Linked DNA regions of Nothobranchius furzeri. The protein of the gene in region 1 purifies or fractionates together with the protein of each later gene. This does not show direct contact. Links are inferred from orthologs where the notes say so. Each region holds a gene or a part of one and is shown in the gene's direction. Other genes may lie near its edges. The genes, in order: trinucleotide repeat-containing gene 6A protein and ago3a.

Evidence for each region.
Region 2: the proteins of trinucleotide repeat-containing gene 6A protein (region 1) and ago3a purify together in Homo sapiens (affinity purification with mass spectrometry; 7 studies listed by BioGRID and IntAct, with this or other methods). This does not show direct contact. The link is inferred for Nothobranchius furzeri from reciprocal best matches to the Homo sapiens genes TNRC6A and AGO3.

The regions. Positions count from the first base shown.
Region 1 is NC_091752.1:63,515,963-63,524,956, forward strand, and holds the start of trinucleotide repeat-containing gene 6A protein, read left to right. Parts: upstream 1-2,814; 5' UTR 2,815-3,049; intron 3,050-6,442; 5' UTR 6,443-6,444; coding exon 6,445-6,490; intron 6,491-8,994.
Region 2 is NC_091745.1:69,170,751-69,179,744, reverse strand, and holds the start of ago3a (protein argonaute-3), read left to right. Parts: upstream 1-4,916; 5' UTR 4,917-5,148; coding exon 5,149-5,167; intron 5,168-8,994. Other genes in the region: ago1 (protein argonaute-1), read left to right, coding at 660-854, 929-1,063, 1,148-1,249, 1,326-1,525, 1,638-1,746.

The DNA.
Region 1 (8,994 bases):
GTATTTTTAAGCCAGTATAAAAACAACTGAAACACAAATTTACATATTTGGCATTACTGACCAATATCTTTGGTTTAATTTATTTAAGAAAATCAAGATGAACATTATAAAGTAAAATTTTCTAGTGCAGAGAGGAGACAACCCATAGAAGCACTGATTTGATCTCATTTCAGAGAAAAATAGAACAGGTCCGATACACCTAATAAATAAAATTACTAACAAACTCAGGAATCTTTCTTTGCTTCATTGTTCTGGTGCTGAAAACATCACTAATGCAGATCAAAGGAGATACACCAGGGTGTCCGCGGGGTTTTAAAAAGTATTAAAAAGTGATAAATAAAAATAGTCAAATTTAAGGCCATTAAAAGTGTTAAATTTGGTCTCAGAGGTATTATTTTTTCCAAGTTAGGTATTATTTTTTTCAGACTATCAGGTGTCGTATTCTGAACATCGACATAGAAATATATTCCGAATGAAATGTTTTGAACGATTATAAAAATAAAACAAGCCGATTATTTGCTCCTCCCACTTGAGCTGCCCTGAGTTACAAATGAAGCGCTCCGTTGCCAACTTAGCGACTTTGATGCTATTTCCAACAGCTTTTCAGACCCCCTTCTTGACTTTTTAAATCTTAAAAGTACCTGGCGAACACCTCAGAAACATCTCTGGTAACCCTTAGCTACTTTCTGGATAACTATCGTCGACATTTCCTGCTGCAGGTTAGCTAAACACTCCGCCTGCGCTCCGGACCGTTCTTCAGGACATTAGGAAAGGGAATGATGTAATGATGTGTCGGTCGCTAAAGAAACAGCTCAGAGCCGGCTCCCTGTTGGAGTAACCAGAGTGAGTGACACACACCGTACCTGCGGACTCCTGAGCCACTAAAAACGGCTAAGTGTGCGTGTGCGGCGCGCTAAACACACGTGCAGCTTGCCCCTGATTGCTGTGAGACCGGGTTGGGGGGTGGGGGGTGCAGCTGTGGTTGGGACAATTATTACATTAACTGATGGACTTGTTAATAAATAGTTTATAAATAAGGTAGAAATAAGTTCCTCACGCTAATAAATAATAACTAATCTCTCTGAGGACACGGTGCTAGTGCACTCTCCTACAGCTCCTTGACACAACTCAATAAATGTTATGCAATATTTTGTGAACATCAATTTATTTGCATGTATTTGTTATAAATGCCACTGTATAATTCTTGCTGTCAGTATTTGCAAGATATTGGTATTTGGGTCTGCACTGGTTAGACTTAAATGAGTTAAACCAAGGTCTATTGCCCTTGGGTCATAAACTATGAGCTATAAGTATATTGGTCTTTTTATACTGGGAATCAGGAGTTCTTTTAGTGATCATCTTGTTTCTTGTTTATTTTTGCCCTGATTGTGCCCTGAGCAGTTTTATGACTGAATAAAAATAAATTAAAAAAATCTACATAAATTGAAAAATCGTCTTAAATAATCGAGATCTCAATTTCAGTCACAATAATCGTGATTATTGTTTTTGCCATAATTGAGCAACCCTACTTTAGCATATCCGGTCACATTATGATGACGTCATATTCAGTGGTCGTTCTGCATCATTTCAGGCCCCGTGGTCAACTGTCTGAACCGCTGAAAAGAAGTGCCTGGCATATTTTCTAAGTAAAATAAATATGCGCAATACGTTGTCAACATCAGTGAGTCTCTAAGTCTATGCTTTTTGTATGTTATATATGTTAAAATATGTGTAAATAGGTCGCTGATTAACACTTGCAATTTAGTGTTGTGATGGTTTTAAAAAAATTCTGAAGGTAGTAAAAAAAAGTATTAAAAAGTAGTAAATTTTACTTAAGGATTGCTGTATATACCCTGTACACAGATGAATGCACCTCTTATTTATTATTTGGAAATTAGTGGGTGTGGTTTACATCAATACATTATTTTAAATCTGAAGCTGATAAAGATTGATCAGAAGTTGCTATGTGTGTTGTTTATTAGAAAAATATTTACAGAGCAGCCTCAGAATTGAGATGAAATGTTTTTGATCACAATAGCAAAGGAACTATTACAGAACAAGTTTTTCACTAAAATCAGAACATTAATGTTTAAGTGCATGAATTAATGCATCTGAACTCATGCATTAGGAACTAGGAAATATGAAATACTAGAACCATTTTATTTTAATTTGATTAAACTGATTTTTTTTCCTAATGTTGTTGGCATTTTCCCCACACACAATTGAACAAACCAATGTTGATTACCAAGCTGCTACATCCTTCTCATTCTTGTCAGGTTTCTAGTCTGGGTTGTTGCAGAAATCGAAAGCAAGTTAGAGATCCATTTACCCTCGGTTGTTTTGCCGAGTTGCCATCTAACCTTTTGCTTTAACCAGTGAGTAGTCAACATGTTGAATAATAATTTATTAGCATTCATTGACTCTGGTAGGAATTGTTTTATTATGCTGAAAAAGGTCAGAAAACTAAATGTTTTGTTTTGAGAAACCACGTAGTGTTTTATGAACATTTAGCTCCTTTTTATCCATCACGTCTTTCTGTGAGCATGTGGATTGTTTCTAAAGCACAAGATTGTGACAGCTGTTTGAAATACTTCAGGATTGCTTCGGAAGCTGATGAATGTGATGGCTAACGTTGTGAACAATTATTTTACAGATGTTTTGAATCTAAAATTACAAAGAAAGAGTATTAAAATAAACTAATAATGGCTTCTTTCCTTTCCTTTATTTTTTTATTTTTTTGTGCAGCAGTGCCGAAGCATACTACATCAAGACGGTCCTTAATCATAACCACGCCTCCATCCTTCCCCGTCCCTATTTACAAACAATCACAAACACCAGTCTTCAGCGATGCCAAGGGAGGCTAATCAGCCTGTCTCCTGCTCTGACAAGCCCCGCCTCCTCACCTCACACCCTTGAAGCTGTGCTCACTAAGTGTTGACCTTTGACCTCCCCTGTGCCGAGCTGGGAACCAAAGGCCACCTGTTCTCTTCTGAAACCGGGGACACCCTCCTGTCCAGCCAGGAGCTGCAGCCACCAGTGGCACTCAGAGGTAAGCAGTGGGGGTGGGGGGGTGGGGGGGGGGCAGGCATTTGCATTCCCAACTGACTCCTCCTTTATGAAGGACTGAAGGCAGCTGTGCATTTAAACGGCTACAGATGTGAGCGGGTGTTTAACCCTCAGGTCTGAGGGACCTACTACATAGTTTTTATGAAATCAGATGAAGCAATAAAGTTACTTGCACAGACCCTCCACTGCTTCATAGTCAGAAAACCAAACTATTGCCTTAAAGGGACGTAGTTTTTTTTTATGCATGTAAACGCATTAGTCTGGCTAAAGCACCCACATAATGCGGTAGAAACTCAACTTCATCTGCATGTAAATGACTCAGTCGAGCTGATGCCACGAGACCGTGGAAGTAGTCTTCTGATAATTCCATTGTTACAAAGTAACATGCGTTACACCATCAAACAGTACAGTATCAGCTGTGCTGCCGCGCCGTTGTCCATTGCTTCACAGCCATCGTTCATATCCTGTTTTAACTCTGTCTGGCTCACTCCCGCCAGCATTGGTTTACTATTTGGGCAGCAGTCGCTCAGGAGGTAGACCGGTAATCAGAAGGTTGCAGGTTAGATCCCGGCTCCCATCAGACAATGCTGCTGTTGTGTCCTTGGGCAAGACGCTTAAGCCTCAGGCTTCACTTTATTTTACTATACACTTGAGTCTTTAGAGGACAAAACGTCCGCTGGTAAAAATGGCTATAAAAATGTATACAATAATATTTTTCTTCTGCTTTTTTTTCATCCTTCTGTTAAACTACTTCAGCCCTCCATCATTTTTAACACTTCAAATGCCAGTTTGATTACTCAGTCATTTCTGGAATTTATGGAGGAAAAAACACAAAAATGACTTATTTTCCCCCAAAAACAACTGTTTCTTCCTGGGGCATTTATTATAAATCAGGCTTAGTCATGTTATGAAATAACTGAAAAATAAAAAAATTTGCATCCGTAGTTTTTGTGTAGCAACAGATTGATCTTGGCGGACAAAAATGTCCCATTGACTTCCATTCAAACCACAGTTTTTCATCCTGTAACATCTGGAAAAAGTAATCATGCTTTCTGTGATATTAGTGTTTCATTTTTCACTAGTGAAATTTGTGATTTTTACTGTTCTTCACCAAATTCAGTTATTTCTCCATACGTGGCCCAGGTGAGAAAGTCTACACATTTCTTTAGATCTTCTGTTGTTTGTATTGAAGTCAAAAGGTCAACCTGACCTCTGATAAGTAGATAAAACACAGTTTGACTCTCTTACTGAACTTCAAAGTGTAGAAAGCAAAAACAATTGGTATGTTTATGCACGTGTCTGGAGCTCCAGCCAGGTGCATAAACATACTAAACTGTGGTTTGAATGGAAGTCAATGGGACGTTTTTGTCCGCTAGACTCAAGTGTATGGTGTTTTTTGTTTTTTTCTTCATAGTGTTCACTTGGTTTATTTTCAAAATTCCAAATTGAATTTCGAAATTTGTCCAGGGAGGTGTTTTGCAACAAAGATTTGTACCGTATGGTACGGCTGAACGATCTATCGTTTTTGGACCGAAATTCCGATTTCAAACAGCACGCTCATGTGACCGTCAACGCTATGGTTTTGGAGGTTTTGACTGATCCCGGATCAGTTTTGTAACTTTTTATTTTTTATTTTTTACATCCGGGGTTGTCGCCCTGTGTTATGTCGGCGGCAAAATCCAGCGCGGGGGAGGGGAGTGGGGTGTGCCATCCAGAGCAGAGCCCAACTCCAAAGCTGCCAGAGCTGCATGTTCAGGTTATTGTTCCTGTTTTACGTTCCCACACACAGCGCTGCTAGAGCCTATAATAATGGGACCGAAGGTGAGCCTGGGACAGAGAGAGAGAGAGAGAGGACGTAGGGGGTAAGGGAGAGAGACTCCTCCCACATCGGAGCAGGTTCAGGCTTATTTCTAAAGCTTGGTTTATGCTTCATCAGCGCGAGTGCGGAGCCGCGCACTTTAGTTGACTTGAAAGCTCAACTTATCTTTTAAAAATGGTTTGAATGTTTCTGATGGCACACGTTAGCTCAAACAAGCTAAGGTGTCAGAATGCTTGTGTCTCTCACGGAGTTGACATTTTAGTGAGGAAAATCAGACGACTTTGAAAAACGTGCAGCCAGCCTGCCGCGGTAATGCAGGGAAAACTGTGTGCATTTTTTTATTTAATACATTTAAAATCTATGTTTACTTACAGATTTCCTCCATGCATTTTTGGATAGAACATGTTTTGTAAAGCTCCTCTCTAGATATAAACTACAAGCACAAGTTGCTTCACAAACACATAAAAAAATGTAAAAAAAAAAAAAGATAATGGGAGAATATAATGGCTAACTGTTTTTATTGTATGATTAAATAAATAGTAAATATTAATGTGAATGATTTGTTGTACTAGATTAGAATCTAGACCATCTTTTCACCTAATCTACAGGGTGGCTTGGCAGGCTAATGCTGGATCTTTGTTTGCAGAAAATCGTGAATTGAACCGAAATCGCAATTTCTGCTAGAAAAATTGCAATTCAGTCTTTTCCTAAAATCGTTCAGGCCTACCATATGCACAAACAATGGTGAAATGGCATCCAAAAGAAAAGCAAAAAACTGCCCAAATGGACAAAAATGTCCCTAATGAAGCCTGAGGGTTAAACCCACCTTTTCTGCTGGTGGTGGTCGGAGACTGGTGGCGCCAGTGTTTGGCAGTCTTGTGTCTATTATTGAACCTCAGGGCAGCTGTGGCTACATTGTAGCTCATCACCACCAGCGTGTGAATGGGTAGATGACTGATTGTGTTGTGAAGCGCCTGGGGGGTAGAAAGAACCCTAAGAAGGTGCTTTACAAATGCAGGCCATTTACCGTTTTGGTGTTGCTAACCGGAAGAATACCGACACAAAAGGGCGCATGTTGCCTCGGAGTGGAGCGAACTTCATTTGAGAGTTCGGTTTTCTAATGTACAAATAAACTAGGATAATGGCTCCCGGTTAGTTGACTTTGATAGACCTAGCTTGAGTTAGTAGTGCATCTCTCTGTGATGGCTGCTATTGTGTTTATACTCGTAACCAGAAGTCTAAAATAAATGTTTGTGTCGTAAAATATTTTTATTGGGGTGTCAGTCATTTATTACAAACTATGGTATGGTACATAATTCTCAGAAATTATCAATCAATGAAGTCTTTAAATTCTTATATTATCTAAGAAATAACTAGAGATTTAGTAACAGAAAATACTAGTCCTGCTTTCCTTTAAAGCTGTTTTTCTAAACTCTTCTGACTTTAAACCTTTTTTATTACTGTATATTTATTCCAGCTGTTTCTAACATCTTCTCACATTGTTTTCCATCTCTGCTTCCCTTCGAACCTTGACAGTCTCCCGCTTTCTTTTTCCAGGCATGGCTCCCATTCGGGATTCCGTCAGCCACTCTCCTAACCAAACAGGTGACAACATATTGTCTTCTTTTAAAAAATACTCCTCCTTTGCATTTACTGCTCTGTCAAAGTGCTTTACTTTTGCTTTCTGCATAGAAAAGATCCAACCTGGACTTGACCTTGTCCAGTGGTGTGTTGTACTCCCCTCTCGTCAGTGAGACTGAAATGAATTCATGAAAAAGTGTGTGTTGAAGGGTGCATAAGAAGACCTGGTGCAGGCATGAAGTAGTGGATAGTGACTGAAAAATAACAAAGGCAAAGCTAAAAACACCATTATTATGGGCCTGTGTCCTTTTAGTTCTGTGGCTCATAAATAAATAAGTTATTAATACACTCAAACACCTGAGTGTGATTTATACTTCTGCGTCGATCCTGAGACATTCAACGCCATTATACGTTGGCGCAAGGGCTCTCCAACGGGCTTACAGATTGAGACATGCCCAAAATATTAAACATCTGTTAGAAGTGAGAGACCGCAAGCTTGTGATTGGTCAATTCAATTCAATTGTATTTATATAGCGCCAAATCCCGACAAGAGTCATCTCAAGACACTTCACATAATAAACATTCCAATTCAGGTCAGTTCATTAAGCCAGTCAGGAAAAATGTTTCCTATATAAGGAACCCAGCAAGTTGCATCAAGTCACTGACTAGTGTCAGTGACTATACAGCAATCCTCATACTAAGCAAGCATGCAGCGACAGTGGAGAGGAAAACTCCCTTTTAACAGGAAGAAACCTCCAGAGGATCCTGGCTCAGTATAAGCAGCCATCCTCCACGACTCACTGGGGATCGAGAAGACGGAACACACACACAGACACACACACACACACACACACACACACACACACACCAAGCAATGTGTCCATGGTTACACCGTGATTGCTTAGTAAATATTCTATTTGGCGAGAGATAAACTTTCTTGTATTTATCCTAGTGAATCTATTGTTAAACGGGTAAACTAGTAGTAGCACACCAACGTCAAGGAAAGCAAAAAGTTATTATCAGGAGAGGGAGAATGTTTAAGTGTTTAGCAGCAGTGTGCTAGACGATGGTCCCCTCCATGAGGCCACCACAGCTCAGCAGAGCATCGTTGTAGCTTCTTCTGGGGAGAAAAACACTTAGAGAGAAAAAATAGTTAACAGCTGAAATTGCAGAAAATAATACAGTTAAAGAGCAGATTGTAGAAGAAAGTAGTAGAGTGTGAAAAGTGGTCAGTGTGTCCTCTAGCAGTCTAAGCCTATAGCAGCATAACTACAGAGATAACTCTGGATAATCTATCCTATTTAGATGGAGGCATGTTGGAGGCAGGACAAGGGAGAGCCGTCTTTACCGACTCTACACTCCACCTCCCTGTACTCTCCCACTTGTCCAGATCTAGGCTAACATCAGATTTTAACCATAAGCCCTATACAAGAAAAATGTTTTAAGCCTAGTCTTTAAAGTAGACAAGGTGTCTGCCTCACAGACTAAGGCTGGGAGTTGGTTCCACAGGAGAGGAGCCTGATAACTAAAAGATCTGCCTCCCATCCTAATTTTAGATATTCTGGGAACCACCAGTAGACCTGCAGTCTGAGAGCAAAGTGCTCGGTTAGGAACGTATGGAACAATCAGATCACTGATGTATGATGGACCTTGATTATTAAGAGCTTTATATGCGAGAAGAAGGATCTTAAAATCTATTCTGAATTTAACAGGCAGCCAATGAAGGGAAGCTAAGACAGGAGAGATATGATCTCTCTTTTTGATTGTCATCAGAACTCTAGCTTCCTGTAAATTTGTCAACAGCTCCATTAAAAAGTGAAAAGACATACAGGTGCTGGCCAGTAAATTAGAATATCATCAAAAGGTTGAAAATATTTCAGTAATTCCATTCAAAACGTGAAACTTGTACATTATATTCATGCAATGCACACAGACCAATGTATTTCCAATGTTCATTACATTTAAATTTGATATTCATAAGTGACAACTAATGAAAACTCCAAATTTGGTATCTCAAAAAATTAGAATATTCTGAAAAGGCTGAATATAGAAGACACCTGCTGCCACTCTAATCAGCTGATTTACTCAAAACACCTGCAAAGGCCTTTAAAAGGTCCCTCAGTCTTGTTTTGAAGGCACCACAATCATGGGGAAGACTTCTGACTTAACAGCTGTCCAAAAGACAATCATTGACACCTTGCACAAGGAGGGCAAGACACAAAAGGTGATTGCTAAAGAAGCTGGCTGTTCGCAGAGCTCTGTGTCCAAGCACATTAACAGACAGGCGAAGGGACGGAAAAAATGTGGTAGAAAAAAGTGTACAAGCTCTAGGGATAACCGCACCCTGCAGAGAATTGTGACGACAAACCCATTCAAAAATGTGGGGGAGATCCACAAAGAGTGGACTGCAGCTGGAGTCAGCGCTTCAAGAACCACCACGAGGAGACTCATGAAAGACATGGGATTCAGGTGTCGCATTCCGTGTGTCAAGCCACTCTTGAACATGAAACAGCGCAAGAAGCGTCTCG
Region 2 (8,994 bases), on another chromosome or scaffold:
ACAGTTTTTATCAGGTTATTTAGTTAAATTATAAGAAGTTGCTGCTGTGTTTTTAAGTTTAAGAGCTTGGAGCTGAAAATGTTTCTCCTGATGTTTGAATTATCTACTAAACACCCAGACTTCGTCTCTTTAGCTTAGCTTAGAAAGACGACTGAAGCGTGTTTGACTCCGTTTGCTTTAGTCCGACGAAGGAACTACGAGAGTAGTAAGGGCGGAGTCGGTTACGGGTCTGAGGAAACAAATAGTTCATCGCTGACTCACGTTAAAAAAGGAAATGACGTCATCTCGTTTGTGCTTGACCTCAGCTCAGCTGTGGTTGGACGCGTTGTTGCCTAGCGATCATGACCAATGATTGAGTCAGGCAGGGAGAGGATGGGAGAGGAGAGTGGGTGTGTTTGAATTATCTAGAATACAGCTGGGGGGGGGGGGGGGGGATTGTCACGGAAAGTTTAACGATGGTCCTCGCTGCTTTTATGAACGCCTGTTGTTCAGATTTACGCTGGAAGGGGAAAAAGAGAAAAGAGTCATGAGACTGGGGAACTGAGCGTTTTTCAGCGTGCGGTTCTGTTGGCTGAGATCCTTCTGAGCTCTTTAGAACTGCTGCGTGGCAAACCCGAGGAACGCAACGCTCCAGCGCTTTCACCCCTCCCCTCTTCCAGGTGGTAGGCAGCATGGACGCCCATCCCAGCAGATACTGCGCCACGGTGCGCGTCCAAAGGCCCCGGCAGGAAATCATCGAGGATTTATCCTACATGGTGCGCGAGCTCCTAATTCAGTTCTACAAGTCGACCCGCTTCAAGCCCACCAGGATCATCTTCTACAGAGATGGCGTTCCCGAGGGACAGCTGCCACAGGTATGCGGCGTCACGTGGACGTTTAGCATTTTTCACCAGTTTGAGCCCCAACTGTGAAACCCTTCTATGTGCAGATTCTCCACTACGAGCTTCTGGCCATCAGGGATGCCTGCATAAAGTTGGAGAAAGACTATCAGCCTGGCATCACCTACATCGTGGTACAGAAACGACACCACACACGCCTCTTCTGTGCTGATAAGTCCGAAAGGGTAAGCTGTCTGGTTTTCTACTTTAAATCATCAGATTTATGTAATTAATGTCATAAAAATGATTGATTACTTTTTTTTTTGCAGATTGGGAAGAGTGGGAACATCCCTGCAGGGACCACAGTGGACACCAGCATCACTCATCCCTTTGAGTTTGACTTCTACCTGTGCAGTCATGCAGGCATACAGGTGTGACTCACACACTTTTACAGTTTATTTCAGGTGTTTCCTTAACAACCCAAACCCTTTTCGTTTCCGCCACCAGGGTACCAGTCGGCCGTCTCACTACTACGTCTTATGGGACGATAATCGCTTCACGGCGGATGAGTTGCAGATTCTAACCTACCAGTTGTGCCACACGTATGTCCGTTGTACCCGCTCAGTTTCCATCCCCGCACCAGCCTACTATGCCCGTCTCGTGGCCTTCCGCGCTCGCTACCACCTGGTAGACAAAGAACACGACAGGTCAGTGTGATTTTTGTAAAAGCAAATCATAAAAATTTGGCATGCAACTACTTTCTACACTTTAGCGTAACTGCTGTGGTCTTTGGGTCTTCTCCCCGTTTTCCCTTTGCAGTGGAGAGGGCAGCCATGTTTCCGGCCAGAGTAACGGCCGGGACCCCCAGGCGCTGGCTAAAGCTGTTCAGATTCACCACGACACTCTGAGGACCATGTACTTCGCCTGAGCATCGCTCCCACCACCTCACTTCTACCTGAGCGGGCCTGAAAGCCTGCTCCCGCCTCATCCCCATCCCCATCCCTGACTCCCACCACACACACACCCTCTGTTGGTCCGTCACTCACTCATCTCCTGTAAACACAGCCAGACTCTGCAGCCTCATGCACTCAAAGTTTTAAATATTTTTATTCTCATGTTTTCATTTTTTTTAATTTTTTATCATGATGGTTGATTTTTTATGTTTTTTTATTTTTCAAACATGGACATGGTTATGTAATTGTATTGTACGCTACCTTTACACTCCTATCTAAGTAAGTATGCAATACGGATGGGAGGAAAAATAGATGATCGAAAGGGGAAAAAGAAATTCCTAAAACTTTTTTTAACTGCCACCACAATGCTGCCTCTTGTCCCATCCAAAAGCCGGATGCCGGTGTTCCAACCCTTTAGCTTGGCGATCCGCCAGATGGGTGGTACTGAGCACGCACACTTACATTTATGTTATTTTTTAATGTTTTCATGAACTACATTCATGTTTTGTGATGCTTTTGTAATAATGTTATTTTCTTAAAACGCCTTGATGAGCCTGAGGGATGGTACAGTAGCACTTAGCGTTAGCATGTAGGTGCCACCGGTCCTGCACATAAAGAATTGTAGTCGTTCGAGGCTAGCCCTCTGGTCGTTATTAGCAGACAGGAGCAGGTGTAGCGATCCTAGGTGCTGTGGCACTCTCAGTCCCGATTGGCCAGTCCCTATAGAGAGCTTAGCATAACAGTAGAGGGACCATTTGCATAGAGTGTATCAAATATACTTGCACCCCATGCACCTAAACCAGCATTATTAACCAGCCAAAAGTGATGCCACCCAGTTAAAATAGGAGGCACTTAAATGGGAAGACTTTGTCTGTATTCACTGCTCTTTAAGGATTTTAGGCACTTTTTTTTTTTGTTTACGTATAATTTTACATAAAAATTATGAACTTTTTTTTTCTGCAAGACTTGAACCACACTAGCTTAGAGTTTCACACCCACACTTGAGTTGCACTCAGAAATAAAGCAATAAGCAAGGTCAGCACTGTTGTGCACACTTGGAAACAGGCGAGTTTGTGATCGCCCGAGTGCTGCGAGGCTGAACCTCCATTCAGCCGGCGACCTTCCTTCGCTCGTCCTGCATATTCCTACTTGTATCAGTGGAGATGACGCCACGCGGTGCATTTTTTCACACTTCCGTTCTCAAAACTTCCTTGCATAACTGCACACACCAAACTACGACCGGTCCTGTTTTTACTCGGCGCTCTTCCTGCTGCAGGCGTTTACAACTCATAGCTTGGGTAATGAAAGCACACGTTGATTTGTTTCTTAACATGCAGAGGTAGAACACGCTCATGCAAACTGTTGCTCTTTGGCCTCGCCACCACGTTCTGTCTTTTGCCATTTGTTTTTCATGTTTTGGCACCACATGCATTCAGCATCCCCTGTTCCAATCCCCTAATCTGTGTTAGCCAATCCCTATTGGTGCTCTGTGTGCATGGGCGTCATAGACAGGGGATTGCTCATTGGACAGGGTGGGCCTCTGTTACTACATTTCAATATGCCCTGCCTTCACATCAGCTCACTGTCTGGATCTATGAGAAAAAAAAGCATGTAACTATTATTTTAACTGGACTGGATATTCTGAGCCACCTTCTGTTGGTTTTCTTAGAGGTAGGAGCCTTGTGCTCAACACTGCCTGTCAGTTGTTTTGCCTCTGTTGTGTAACAGTTATTGAAACTGATATATTTTTTGTCATTATTATAAATATTGTGACTATTGTCAGTGTATCCTCAAGAGGGCACTGTGGAGATGGTGTCTAAATTCCACCTCAGGTGCCCTTAAAGCGCCTCAAATCTCATCTGATGGGCAGAAGCCCTTAAAGTCGAGGAAGGATCTGATTAAAAAAAAAGAACACACTAGATCAGATGTTCGATTTTAAAATCATATTTATAAAGTTGCATAATCCGAATGCCTTCGTACACCGGTTTACTGATCCTCCATAGTGTCCAAGGTGATTTGTATATATTAATATATATAATATGTACATGTTCTATATTTTGGCCTGACACATGCTGGGTCTTTCACAGTTGAGGCCAGTGTTTTACTCTGCGTTCTGTACTTAAAGAAGTCGGGGGTACTCCTCTGCACCACTAAAACCAGATGCAGTTCTTCACGTACTGAAGCCACAAAAGCACCTTGCCAAGGGGGACACAAAAATGGTCTCCCTGGAAATGTATCGTGGACAGCGGAGAGTCGAGTCCTCTTCGCACAACCTCACGGTCCGATTAAGCAATATCAAAGCCACTGATCAAGAACAGTCCTCATCATAGCACTTCCCAATAGATATGAATGAAAGGACATGGAAGCATATTACTTAAGTTCTGTGTGTGATAGTGTTGGAACTCTGTCGGGGAGGGTTATTTTTTAATAAAAAAATAAATTGTTTTTTATTACTCCTGCAGGTTCTTTTGACTCGTTTGTTGTTTCATGCTTTATTTTTTATTATTGTGCATTGATTTATACTGTAAAAAGTTTCTGATGCTTCTTTTTTTTTAATTATGAACTGATGTATTCATTAATGCAGAAAAAACTGTGGCTGAAGGCGGAGTGAGTTGTTCTGACGTCTGCTGGCAGAGCCCACCTCTTCCTGTCGGTGTGAGAAAGGCTACTTCACCATATTTAGCTGGCTTGCCGAAGCCCTGCAGAGTTCTGTCAACTAGCCTGAAAATCTTGACACTTCTCGGAGGAAACAACGCGGAGCTGACAGCGTCGTTTCGGCACCGGGATACAACTTACTGACGACGACGTCGACGGAACACGGCGCCTGAGAACGCGGCCTGTTTTTAACAGCTGTTTTTAACGCGATAAAAGTAGCTATCGCGTGTCATTATTCCAACTATCAGCGCGAGCTAGCCAGCTAGCTTGTTACTTTAGCCGCTCCGACGTTCGCCGTCCCGATAAGTATTTATGCCGCTCCTGCTAATGGTCACCTATCGTTAGAGACTCGTTTGGACTCTGTGACCCTCCCTGCTGTGATGATCTCCTGACAGCTCCTCTCGTCCGTTCTAGACACTTTTCAAAGCCTGGCTAGCAAGCTAACCTAGCAGGTTTTCACTGCCACTGTAGCCTTCTCCGTGGCGGTGAAACCCGATTTCTGACGGCGGTGCGAGGAGACGCCGAGAAAAAAAAAACTCTGCTGGTGAAAAGACTCGATTGACAGCACGTTAGGAGGGGGGGGACATAAAAAACGTGGACACCCTTGTCGCTGTGCAGAGACAGGCGCTGTCCTCCCCACGGAGGAGACACCGGAGCTAACAGGAGTAACCAGACGTTTGACACCTGTGATCCGGGAAGTGAACCGGGCAGGGACCTCATGAATGGAAATCGGAACTACAGGTAATTTACTCTGCATCGTTATTTTAAATAAAAACTCTTATGGGTAGAATCGAGATCAGACACGATACCATAATTTAACATTTTAGCTGTTAATGTCTTAAAGTTGTGTCCATCCCGATGGTCCATCCTTGTATTTATAACACTGTAAAAAATGTGTGGTTGTCTGAACTAATTCACCAGTTTTATTTTTAATTAAATTGGTAGGTTATTCAACCTTTTGTTTCCATTAACCTGATTTGGATTAACTGCTTTGAGTAATTAATTGGATCTGCAAACCTTTATTAATCAAAAGTAAACTGTTAAACAACTTTGTATGACAGGGAAACCTTGTTACGGTGAAATGAAAATAATCATGGTTCAAATATTTGAGTCTTTCAATTAAGTCTGGTTGAAATTTTAATTCAAATATGCATTTATAGCCTTTAATTTGATCACAACATCACCAAGTAAGTGTATGCTTATTTATGTCTGATTTTTGATCTTTGTATTCTGATGATTGATTGGTTTTTAAATGTGTCACCAAAGAGATACTCAGTCTAAATGAAATATCCAGAGGAGGTGGTTGTGTTGCATCACCAGGCAGGTGTGGGCATTCTCACACAGAGTCTGAAGATTAACCTGGTATTCCCCTTAATAAAAGACTTCTCCAACAAACCATATCTGTCTTCTAAGAATGTGACAGAAGGTGAACTCCGTTCTTGTAGAAGACCCTGGGTCTCAGCATCATGGCTCTAACTGACCTTGGCGCATTTAGGGCTTGAAACTTTGCGATCTATAGGGTTAAACCCTATTACCTTCTACAAGCTGGATCCTAAATAATATTTTTCAATCTTTCTAAAACATCTAAATCTAATGAGTGTTTTTTTGCAGGTATGATCCCATATAAACTTGCTAGTTCATGTCTAGCTCCAGTGAAAAAAACATATTTAACTGACCAAGAGCAAACCGGTGGTCCCTTTTTTGTTCAGAGTGACAGTTAAACAGTCCAAACCACCTGGCTTGGTCTCCACGGAAGCTTTGTAACGGAAGCTTTCCACTAATGTGACAATAAACTGAATCCTAGGTACTCTTGATTATCCAGTGACACACGATACAGCGGTTGGTTTGTATCCCACTGCCTCCTCGAGGAGATCTCTCTCAGCTGCCCATTCTCTCTAGTGCTGAGCTCTCCTCAAGCTTCCCCGCTTTAACAGCATGTGTGACTGCAAGGTGTTTTCCCAGCAGCTAAACACACAGTAAGGTCAAACAAATACAGAAAAAAATGCATTCAGTCAAATTATTTACATCCTAAAATGTAGCATTGGTCTAAATGTAATGTTATTCTTGTTAAATTAAACATTCTATACAGTCTTGTTGTATGGACACCAAGTAAGGCAGCATTTTGCGTGCACTTCACATAATGTACATAGAATGTTTTTTTTTTGATAAATAAAATTATCTGTCCTTTCCTGTAACATTCTCCAGTAAGGTTTAGTAATTGGATGGATTATTCGACCATCGGGGATTGGCCAAACTCTTTGGCAATAAGCAATTATTTTTAAAGCCTCACAGATGGGACATTGCAAGCGCCCATGTCAAATCCGCATCATTTTTGCAACACTTCTTCTATGTACACATACATATTACACATAATTTAAAAGCCAGGGTTATTTAAATTTCAACGATATGTTTCAAACAAGGATTCAACCATAGGTGTAGAGATAATAAACACATTTGCCTCTTGGAGATTCAAATGAAAGTCGACTGGAATAGAGTAGGGATAGGCAACCCTGGTCCTAGAGAGCTGCAGTCCTGTTTGTTTTCCAACTATCTTTGTTGTTCCTGTTGTTCAGCCAATTAGAAGCTGCAAGTTCATGCATGGCTGGAAAACATGCAGGACTGCAGCTCTCTAAGACCAGGGTTGCCTACCCCTGGAATAGAACCATCTCCAACAGCAATGGTCTTTTTACATCCAGAAGTCCAATTAAAGCACTCCAATAAAATAGTTGGTCTACAACAAGTTTTGTGTTCACAATCCTTTTTTTCCCCCACAACTTGGTTAAGTAAACTCAACATTTTATTTTTTTCGAGTGTATCAAGAGTATAGAAACAGAAGCTTATTGTCATTTTGCACCAGATGATTAAATAAACACAAGTGCTTCACAATCCATCATAATGGACTGCGGAAAACATTCAAAATTTCCCTAAGATGCATCTCATAATCCCCGCTGGCATCCAAACGTTGTCTTCAAACACTTGAGGGACATCTTCCTGACGTAGGTGAAGAGTTACCCACTATCTGCTGGGGCAAAATCGGCAGCTATTGTCTAACTTGTCATAAGTACCCCATTTATTACCATGTGTGTTGCATGAACCAACCTGTTGTTATAGATCATGATCTCTCCACACTCTGTGGAATGACGTCCAGTTAATGTAATTTTATATACAAACCTAAAAAAAGATGTGTTCTAAAGCAAATAAGTGTGAGTGTGTGTATATGTGTGTATATTATATACATGTATGTGTGTATGTGTGTATGTATGTATGTATGTATGTATGTATGTATAATTTTATAATATATATATATTTTTTATGTTATATATATGTAAATATGTGTGTGTGTGTGTGTGTATATATATATATATATATATATATATATATATATATATATATATATATATATATATATATATATATATATATATTTGTGTATATATAAATGTGTGTGTATTTTTCGCTTAGACAGACCTTATGTTTTTAAGGTAGTCCATATTCTGTCTTGTAAATTAAGCAGAATTCGCACTCCATTTTAAGCTATGTATCAGCTGGTTCATAGCCTGCAAGTCCTATCCAGATTGAGCAGTGGTTTCAATGCCAAGACGGGAATGTTGTCCGTTATTCCCAGATTATCTGCTAGCACAATGATTAGGGGTATCTGAGGGTTGGAATGTTCTGTTAAGTCTCCAGAAGCTACGTCAATGTTATGAAAGTGGTGAGGCTACAAGACGACAAAAGGTCCTCTAGTAGACACAGCATGTGCTCTAAAAGTAAATAAATGACATAGCAGGGCTGCATTTAGTGGTTAGTATGGCTGCTTTTTGTTTACATTTTTGAGGTCTGTGCAGAAGGTTGCAATATACGTACACTGTCATCACACACGGATTATTGAAAGTTGAACGTGGCTGACAGATATACAGTTGTGGTCAGAAGTTTACATACACTTGTAAAAAATATAATGGCTCTACCGAGTGTCCCATTATTTTTAAAACTCTGATTTTTCTCTGATAGAGTGATTGGAACAGATACATCTTTGTCACAAAAAACATTCATGAAGTTTGGTTCTTTAATGTCTTTATTATGGGCTAACAGAGAAAAGTGATCACATTTGCTGGGTCACAAATATACATACAGCAACATGAACTAGCAATTTTGGTGACTTAGAAACGTGTCAGTGAACTGAGCTTCATAGCATGGCCTCTTAACTTCTTGTGAGTGATTATGAGTGACTACAGCTGGTGACTTCTCTTAGGCCAGGTAAATAGGGCTCATTGGATACAAACGCCCACAAACGCTTCAATGGGAAAGTCAAAGGAGCTCAGCATGGATCTGAAAAAGCGAATTATTGACTTGAACAAGTCAGGAAAGTCACTTGGGGCCATTTCAAAGCAGCTGCAGGTCCCAAGAGCAACAGTGCAAACAATTGTTTGTAAGTATAAGGTGCATGGCACTGTTTCATCACTGCCAAGATCAGGAAGAAAACGCAAGCTATCACCTGCTGCTGAGAGAAAATTGGTCAGGAGGGTAAAGAGTGAACCAAGAATCACCAAAAAGCAGATCTGCCAAGAATT